Linked DNA regions of Tribolium castaneum. The protein of the gene in region 2 purifies or fractionates together with the protein of the main gene of each other region. This does not show direct contact. Links are inferred from orthologs where the notes say so. Each region holds a gene or a part of one and is shown on either strand. Other genes may lie near its edges.

The links. The genes of interacting proteins can lie anywhere in the genome.
Region 1: the proteins of Myd88 (region 2) and pll purify together in Drosophila melanogaster (affinity purification with western blotting; 4 studies listed by BioGRID). This does not show direct contact. The link is inferred for Tribolium castaneum from reciprocal best matches to the Drosophila melanogaster genes Myd88 and pll.

What each region holds. Positions count from the first base shown.
Region 1 is NC_087401.1:17,599,795-17,603,967, forward strand, and holds pll (serine/threonine-protein kinase pelle), read right to left. Parts: upstream 2,838-4,173; 5' UTR 2,660-2,837; intron 2,599-2,659; 5' UTR 1,768-2,598; coding exon 1,648-1,767; intron 1,588-1,647; coding exon 1,010-1,587; intron 957-1,009; coding exon 323-956; 3' UTR 300-322; downstream 1-299. UniProt on the Drosophila melanogaster protein: Plays an essential role in the Tl receptor signaling pathway that establishes embryonic dorsoventral polarity; the signal directs import of dl into ventral and ventrolateral nuclei, thereby establishing dorsoventral polarity.
Region 2 is NC_087394.1:36,805,387-36,809,457, forward strand, and holds Myd88 (myeloid differentiation primary response protein MyD88), read left to right. Parts: upstream 1-1,488; 5' UTR 1,489-1,686; intron 1,687-1,741; exon of another isoform or gene 1,742-1,744; 5' UTR 1,745-1,754; coding exon 1,755-1,876; intron 1,877-1,924; coding exon 1,925-2,124; intron 2,125-2,180; coding exon 2,181-2,564; intron 2,565-2,618; coding exon 2,619-2,787; intron 2,788-3,169; coding exon 3,170-3,497; 3' UTR 3,498-3,561; downstream 3,562-4,071. Other genes in the region: mle (dosage compensation regulator), read left to right, coding at 1-324, 380-538, 598-888; syd (JNK-interacting protein 3), read left to right, coding at 3,828-4,052.

The DNA of each region.
Region 1 (4,173 bases), on a different chromosome or scaffold from region 2:
CAGGCGTCGTCGACCAGTGACTCTCAAAATGTTTTCTTCTGCAATGACAAAAATTAAAAGCCAACAGCAGATTTAACAAACCTTATTTGTTAATGAAAACTTGAAAACTAATTATTATACAATAAAGAAATCCTTGAATTGTAGTAGTGTCCACAAAACCGATCAACTGTCACATTGCTTTTTTTCTGATAAAATTAGTCGAAATGAATAACCTTGTAACCTTGTGTAGAATGCGATTATCAATAGCCGTAAATTATAAAAGTAATTGACGGAAAATGTTGATTAGAGAAATGAAACAATTGTAAAAAATGTATGTAAAAATTTATTGATTCATCACAGCTTCTAATTGCAATAAAACCGTAACCATTTCCGGTCGGTCCTTTGCCCCCGTCCTCACACACCCTTTTCCAACTTCCACTAATCCCTTAAAAAAATCTTCTCCTCCTTCAGCCCTTGAATCTTTCAATTGTAACACATCACCTTCCCAAAACACGACATGATCTCTCAAAAACTTGTTCACCCTTTTATTTGAATAAGCAGCTCCAGCTGTCGCCAATTCGAATAAAACAACTCCAAAACTGTAAGTATCAACTTTGGTCGAAAATTTTTTATATTTCATAAATTCGTCAGGAAGATACGGCCTCGTTCCATGAATACGACTCACTTTAACATAATCGGTTTGTGGTGGCCCTTCACGAGCTAAACCAAAATCCCCAATTCTAGGGATTTCGTTTAGGTCGAGAAGAATGTTGGCAGACTTGATGTCGCCATGAATAAGCGGTTTGTCACGAATTGTGTGTAGAAATTGAAGACCTCGAGCGGTTCCAATTGCGATTGTGAGACGAGTTGGCCATGAAAGGACACGTGACGCATCACGAATGTGGAGACGGTGCTCGAGGGAACCCCCGGACATGTATTGGTATACCAAACAATGCTGAGGTCCGTCAATGCTATACCTGAATAAAAATAATAAATATTTCATGTCTAATTTGAATTGGTTTATACGTACCCGTAAAGTGGCAAAATGTTATCGTGTCTGTATGCATTCAAACAATGTAATTCTGTATAGGATTGAAAAATTTGATCCGAATTGTCATCCGCTTTTTTCTCAATTCTTTTAATAGCAACTTGAGTGCACTTCCAAACACCCTTAAATACCGTCCCAAAGCCTCCACGACCCAGAATCGATCCAGTGTTCCAATCATTTGTTGACTGTCTTAAATCATCATAGGGAATTTGAGGAACAGCTCCCACAGATTCCGTCACACAAGAAATAAGCGAGATTCCGTTTGGTTTTTGGGGCTTTGTTTCATTGTTTTCACAACTTGGAGCGTTTAGTATTTTTTCACTTGTTATTGGCTCTTGTTCTAATTTTAAATCGGCCATTAATTCAGGAAGACAAGTACTTTGTTTAATCAAATGATGATATTTTGAATCGACAAGTGGTTTAAGGATTGTCATGGCTTGATAATGTTTCATTCGATACAAGAGAATAAACAATTCAAAAACGGTATGGTTGTGATGACTCCATAAGTCGAGGAGTTTTTCAGTTGGGGAAATGCCTCTGAAAAATTCGCGACTAATTTTCTGAAAATGGATTAGGTAAAGCTAATTAGGTATCTTTAGAGTAAATACGAATTTACTCACTTGGACCGTCTCAGAATCAAATTGCATATGAACCGCAGCTAATTCCTCAAAGCAATTATTCCGATCCAAAATACTACAGAGTTTTTTACGTTCGAGAAACGGCATATCGTAAATAAACATCGTTAAAAAAAATAACAATAAAAAAATTGGGTTATGTTACATTGACAAGCAGTGACAGTCAGCAGTGTCTGTCACCAATCCTAGTAACTTTTCTAATGATAAATCCCTAAGCGGTTTTCTAACCTCATCTTTCACAAAATGTTTCCACTCATTCGAAATGTAATTAATGTGATTAGAAAGTGCCCCTTTGTTGTTGTTGCAACTTCCAAGAATTATCACATATTTACGCCGTCGATTGCAACATCACCGAGCAAACTTTTAGCCGCTGTGAATTACAACCAAACACAGTGTTGTGGTTTCAAAGTAAAAGGAAAGCTGCATAGACGTTGTAAAGACTGCTATTTTGTGATGCGAGAGCAACGTCTTTATGTCCTTTGTAAAACTCACGGTAGACATAAACAAATGTCAATGGTTAAAGACCCGAAAAATACATGGATTTTAACTCACGCAACTCAAGGCAAAGTCCGACCGTGGTAAAAAGACAAAACCGGACACATTAACAAATGGTTTATTGTGGTAGTACAGTAGATTGTTGTTTTTTTCTAGCTTTATGTTGTAACTTAACATATGTATTGTATAACATAAAAATAAAATAAAAATATGTTAATATTCCTGTGGTGTTATTAATCAAGAGGATTAAATGAACAGTTCCTTCTTTCTTTGTTGTGGGTGTTGTTGATGTCTTAAAAGAATAGTCGTAATCTATTGTGGCAAAATAAAAAATGATGGATCCCAGTGATAATCCAAGTGTTGCATAAAGATATTTAGGTTTTTCCCATACAATAGCCCACATAAATATCACTGCAGCTGTTGCCAAAAGGATCATGATTCCTATTGAGATGAAAATTAGTTTTGCGGTGGGATTGTATATCGTATAAGGCGTCAAACATGCCATTTGGAGGACAAGTAACATAGCAGCACCACACCGTAAAGGCACACAAAAACAACATTTTCGAAAAATCATTATTCTCACTAAATCACTACATGTCAAACTTTGTAATTTTCCTTTAAAATCCCACGGTTTGAATTTGCCACTTATAAATGACATTTTCGTGGTGGTGGTTGTCAAAAAAATATTGTCAAACTATTGAGTGCCGGTCTTTAAATTATCTATCTTTTGCAAAAAAAAATATTGTTGTCCGACTAATAGTTTTCGAGAAAATGCAAATAAAAGCAAAAATTAGATCATATGCTCAAAAACTCATAACTAAAAAACTATTGGGAATTTGGCAATTTTCTTGATGCCAATCGATTCCCCGGATCATTTTGCATAGGTATGAAACAAAATAGTTTCACTTTTTAGAATAGTTTAGCCAGAAATGAGAAAATAAAAAAAAAATAAAAAAAAGTTAACACCCCCCCTTAAAATCGGTAAATTTTTAAAGTGTCTCTAAATCAAATAAAACCGATTCTATCTTATAGATTTTGATGTGCTCTTTCCGATCTAAAAAAGCGTTTTCTCCTAGCTCTTTTAGTTTGGCCGTAATCGGCGTTTGAAAATTGAAATTTTTTTTGCGAGATATCGCCTTGAGTCTTATGCTATTTTGTAGAGCTTTTTATTCCGGTTGTTCTCGATTTTTTCGTTTTTTTGATAACTCAAATAGTTTGGCTGTAATTGGCGGTTGAAAATTGAAAAAAAGCGAAAATGGAAACCTTTTTTTGCGTTTTTCTCAGAAACTATAAGACTTAGAGCAACGAACAAAAAATCATCTGATAGCGCTTAATTTTCTCTATTTTTTTGTTTAAACCCGGAGCCGCTCCGGGCAACGGTTCCGGCTACAGAGGCGATCAAAGATTTTTACTAATAAAATTCATAAAAAAAACTAAAAGTCGTAGAGCACTGCGGTTTGTTCCATTGAATTCTACAGCTCATTTTACATATTATATCAATTTTTCACAAAAATTAAAAATTTAAAATTTTTTGTGAAAAGTTTTATTCAACAAAAAAATTCATAACTCGAAAACTAAAAGTCGTAGAGCAATGCGGTTTGTTCCATTGAATTCAGCGGCTCATTTTCTGTATTATACCAACTTTTCACGAGAATTTTCTTATGATTAAGTTTTTCTAACGTAACGTAGTGTTTCTAACGTAGCGGAATCCAAATCTGCAAAAATCGTTCAGAAGATATCGGCAAAAATAGAGAAAACGCTATCAGATAGTTTTTTGTTCGTTGCTCTAAGTCTTACAGTTTCCGAGAAAAACGCAAAAAAAGGTTTCCATTTTCACTTTTTTTCAATTTTTGACTACCGATTACGGCGAAACTATTAGAGTTATCGAGAACAATAATTTTTTTTGAAAAAAATAGATAATTCAAAGAGCTTTCCAACGATAATAAACTTCATGGGGTTATCTCTGATAGTTCCGGAGCTATTGCTCAACAAATGTTCCGGGTACCCAAAATCGAC
Region 2 (4,071 bases):
GGTTTCCCCGAAGAGACTTTATCACCGATTCCTATGGATACAGTTGGCCCTGATCCGAAATTGGACGTTGTGATGGCATTAATGTGTTATGGTCTTTATCCAAATGTTTGTTATCACAAAGAGAAACGAAAAGTTTTGACAACCGAGAGCAAGGCCGCCTTGATACATAAAACATCAGTCAATTGCAGTAACTTTGAACAAACGTTCCCGTATCCATTTTTTGTTTTTGGGGAGAAAATACGGACAAGGGCCGTTTCGTGTAAACAAATGAGTATGGTGACGCCGATTCATTTGTTATTGTTTGGTTCGAGAAAAATTGATTGGGTAATTCAAACTAAACAATTGAATTGCAAGTGTGAGTTGATTTGATTTTGTTTAGGTTGATGGTGTTGTGCGACTTGATAATTGGATTAATTTGAATATGGACCCAGAAGTGGCGGCCCTTATTGTGGCCCTAAGGCCGGCCCTGGAAAGTTTAGTTGTTCGGGCGTCGCAAGAACCGGAACAAATACTCGAAATGTCACCAGGAGATCTCAAAGTAATTCATAAAAATATCTAGACTTAAATTTTTCGAGCGCTATATTTGGCTTTTTGCAGTTTGTTGCAACAATTAAAGAGCTGTGCAAGTTGCACGCTGGGAGTTACCAAATCGAGAGGGCTAGACCCCAAATGCAACAATCGAGGCGTCCACCAAGGGGGCACTCTTTGGGTTTTCAAGGACCACCACCAAAGTTTTTCAGAGGGGGGTCTCGAGGGGGCTTTGGAGATAATCGGGGTGGTTTTCGAGGGGGTTTTGATGGGGGCCATGGATTTGGGGGAAGAGGGGGTTTCAGAGGCAGGGGCGGATTTCCAAGAGGTCGTGGTTTCAGAGGCTATAGTAATTATTAATTGTATCGGTAGACATAAATGTGTTTGATCATCTCGGTATTCAAAAATTAAAAATTTTAACAAAATAAATATTAGTTTTTTCTTCTCGAACTTGAGGCCTTGGCTCACTAGATTCACTACAAAGAACAAAACAATATATATTTTTTGTTGAGTTTGTTAATAAAATTTAAATTTGAAGATTTGGCTAAATGACTACTACCGTAAAAACTAACACAACTCTAGGAAACTAACAACTTAAAGCTTACGCTTAAATATAAAAAATGTGACGACCCTGCCAGGATTCGAACCTGGAATCTTCTGATCCGTAGTCAGACGCGTTATCCGTTGCGCCACAGGGCCTGTAACACTCCCCTCTGTTTCTGATCATTTACCTACCCAACGTTACCAAGTCAATTTAATTGCTCTGATAGTTGCTAATTTGATTGGTGGTGCGGTTGAAATTGACCTCTCCCTTAATTATATTACTAGAATGCTTCAACAAAACATGTTGAATAGAAAAAAGTTCAAATAAAATCATAAAAAAAATCTGTCTCGTATTGACGTATAATTGGTTGCCTGCATATCACTATCACGTAATAGTGCAAACACCAAAATCTCAACTCTTAGCAATGGTATTCCCTTTAATTAAACCAGCTGGTGTGAAAACAGCCTCAAAACCATCAATTTCGGTAAGATTGAGTTATTTTTGCCCCAATCCAAGGTCACGTCATAAAATTGGCAACGTTCGTTATGTCAATTACGTCAACTGTCAATCAATTAAGATGCCCATTTATTTTCATCGCCCTAAAAGATGATTTTGTAAGCAAAAAGTGTTAGTAAGTCCTTGACAAAAACTCAAAATTGGATATTTTAGTAGTTAGTGTAGAATGGAGGCTGCGGGCGAATCGCGGGAAGTCCCCATAACAGTCTTGAGGCCCAAAACCAAGGCACTGTTATGCGACCTGTTGAACCCCCAGATGTTCATGCCAGGCCCTAATGGGGTGCTCCGGTGAGTACAGTTTTAGTATAGTTACAGTTTGTTGATTGGGGGGCTTAGGTATTGGAGAGGTTTGGCTGGCCTGTGCCAGATTAGCCCCAATTATGAGGCGAGTCTTGTCAACGATTCAAACCCCACAGATAAAGTGTTACAGTTGTGGTATGAAAAAGACCCCCAACGTTGTACTGTACAACAATTGTTGTTATTTTTAGAAGAGATGGACCGGTTTGATGTTGCGGACGATGTCTTGGATTTGATCGGTAAATTAATTTCACTATGATTTCGATTAATTTGTGCGAATTTTGTTGTTTTGTAGATGAGGACATTAAATTGTACAAAGCCAATCCACAAGGCTATGAACTCAAGCCTCTCTATTCCGAAGCTGATAAATACATTATTACAACAGATGACGTGATAAGGATTAATGAAGGCCGGGATTTGGAAATTTACGATGCGTTTTTATTGTACGACCATGATGATATTGAATTTGCCATAGAATTGTTGGACAGAATGGAGAAGGAATATGGAATGAAGTTCTGCGTTAAAGACCGCGATTTGGTCGGAGGTGGCTTAGAAATGGACAAAATGATTAAATTAATAACACATCGGTGTAACCGTTTGGTTGTTATTCTTTCAGATTCGTTTTTTAAAAGCTCAGCCAATGAGTATTATTTAAGTTTTGCACACGCTTATGGAATTGGTAACAACAGTTAAAAACATGCATTTTTTATGTTTAATTGTTGTTTTTACACAGAAAGTCAAAGGAAAATTATTCCTTGCATTTATAAAAATCTAACAACGAATCCGCCACATATGAAGTGTCTCTTCACTTTGGATTTTCAACGAATGGCTGCTTTCAATGTGTGGGATAAGTTACGTGATTCGATCAGAGTGGTCAGTGCGGAAAAATTCAAAGTTAACAGGTATTGCCTACTTGATTTTTGTTACTTTGAATAAAATTTTTGATCAAGTAGACTTTGACTGAAATTAAGTTGGTAACATTTGCTATCGTCTGTTTTTAAGGTAAGGCTGTTTTTTCACTAACACACTAAATATTTGATTTTTGGGTTGATTTCCTGCAATTTTTTGCATATTTTTGTGTTGAATGTTCGAAAAAGTAAAAAATAAACCCATTTTCTAATCATTTCGGCGATTTCTGGATTCAATTTACCATTTACTACATAATTATTGAACAGAATGTTCGGGGAAATACTCAAACGACTTAAGTTCAGTGTTGGCAACTTAATTTCAGTCATAGACCACTTCGATTAGAGTTCAATTAATTCAATGCGAGTGTAATTGCAGGTCCCAATCCGACAATGGTCAAGTGTTGAGGTCCGCTTTACATCAGAGGGACCCTATCGGTCTCAGACCGTTAAATCACGGCGTAAAATTTAGCAGTAGTGTAGGTGATTTGAAAAGCACAGAGGCTATAAGCGAACCACCGCTCAATCCCAGTACAAGTGCCGACAATTTAGAATCGTGTTCGGAACAGAAAAAAGAGAAGAAAACCACTTTGTTGAAAAAAATCAAAGGCCATTTCAAGCGAGATAAAGATTGCTCATCCAAGGCGGAAAAAGGAAGCAAAGGATTGAAGAAACACTTGAAGCGAGCCACAGCCGTCGCGAACTGATGCATTTTATTTGTGATTTGTGTAAATAAGTGCAATTATTTTTAATAAATATGATTGAATTTGTTGTGGGGATTTTCATTTTGTCACCAAACCCTAGTTACTGCGCAAAATATGATTTGGCAACAAAGCAGTGGCAAAAATGACAGTTGTTCCTCCAGCCCGATTTTTGTCATCATAAACAGTGGGTGTAACAAAAAATCGCACACTTTTCCATCACCAGTGCCCCCAGAATGTGCCCCACGTTGTAAAATCATCACAACACAATGTTCCCTCAAGTGACAATGTGCTATTCTTGATTGGGCAAAAGTAGGTTGAATAGTTGGTTAAATAATGGATTTGGCTGACTCCGGCGGTGGTCTTGGACCCGAGACCATCTACGGGACGCACGAGGACTCCCATGTGGTGATGTCGGAGAAGGTGCAATCGTTGGCTGGTAGCATCTACCAGGAGTTCGAACGAATGATCGCACGCTACGACGAAGACGTCGTCAAGACCCTCATGCCCCTGCTGGTGAACGTGCTGGAGTGTTTGGACGCGGCGTATCAACAGAACCAGGTACTTGACTCAATTTTAG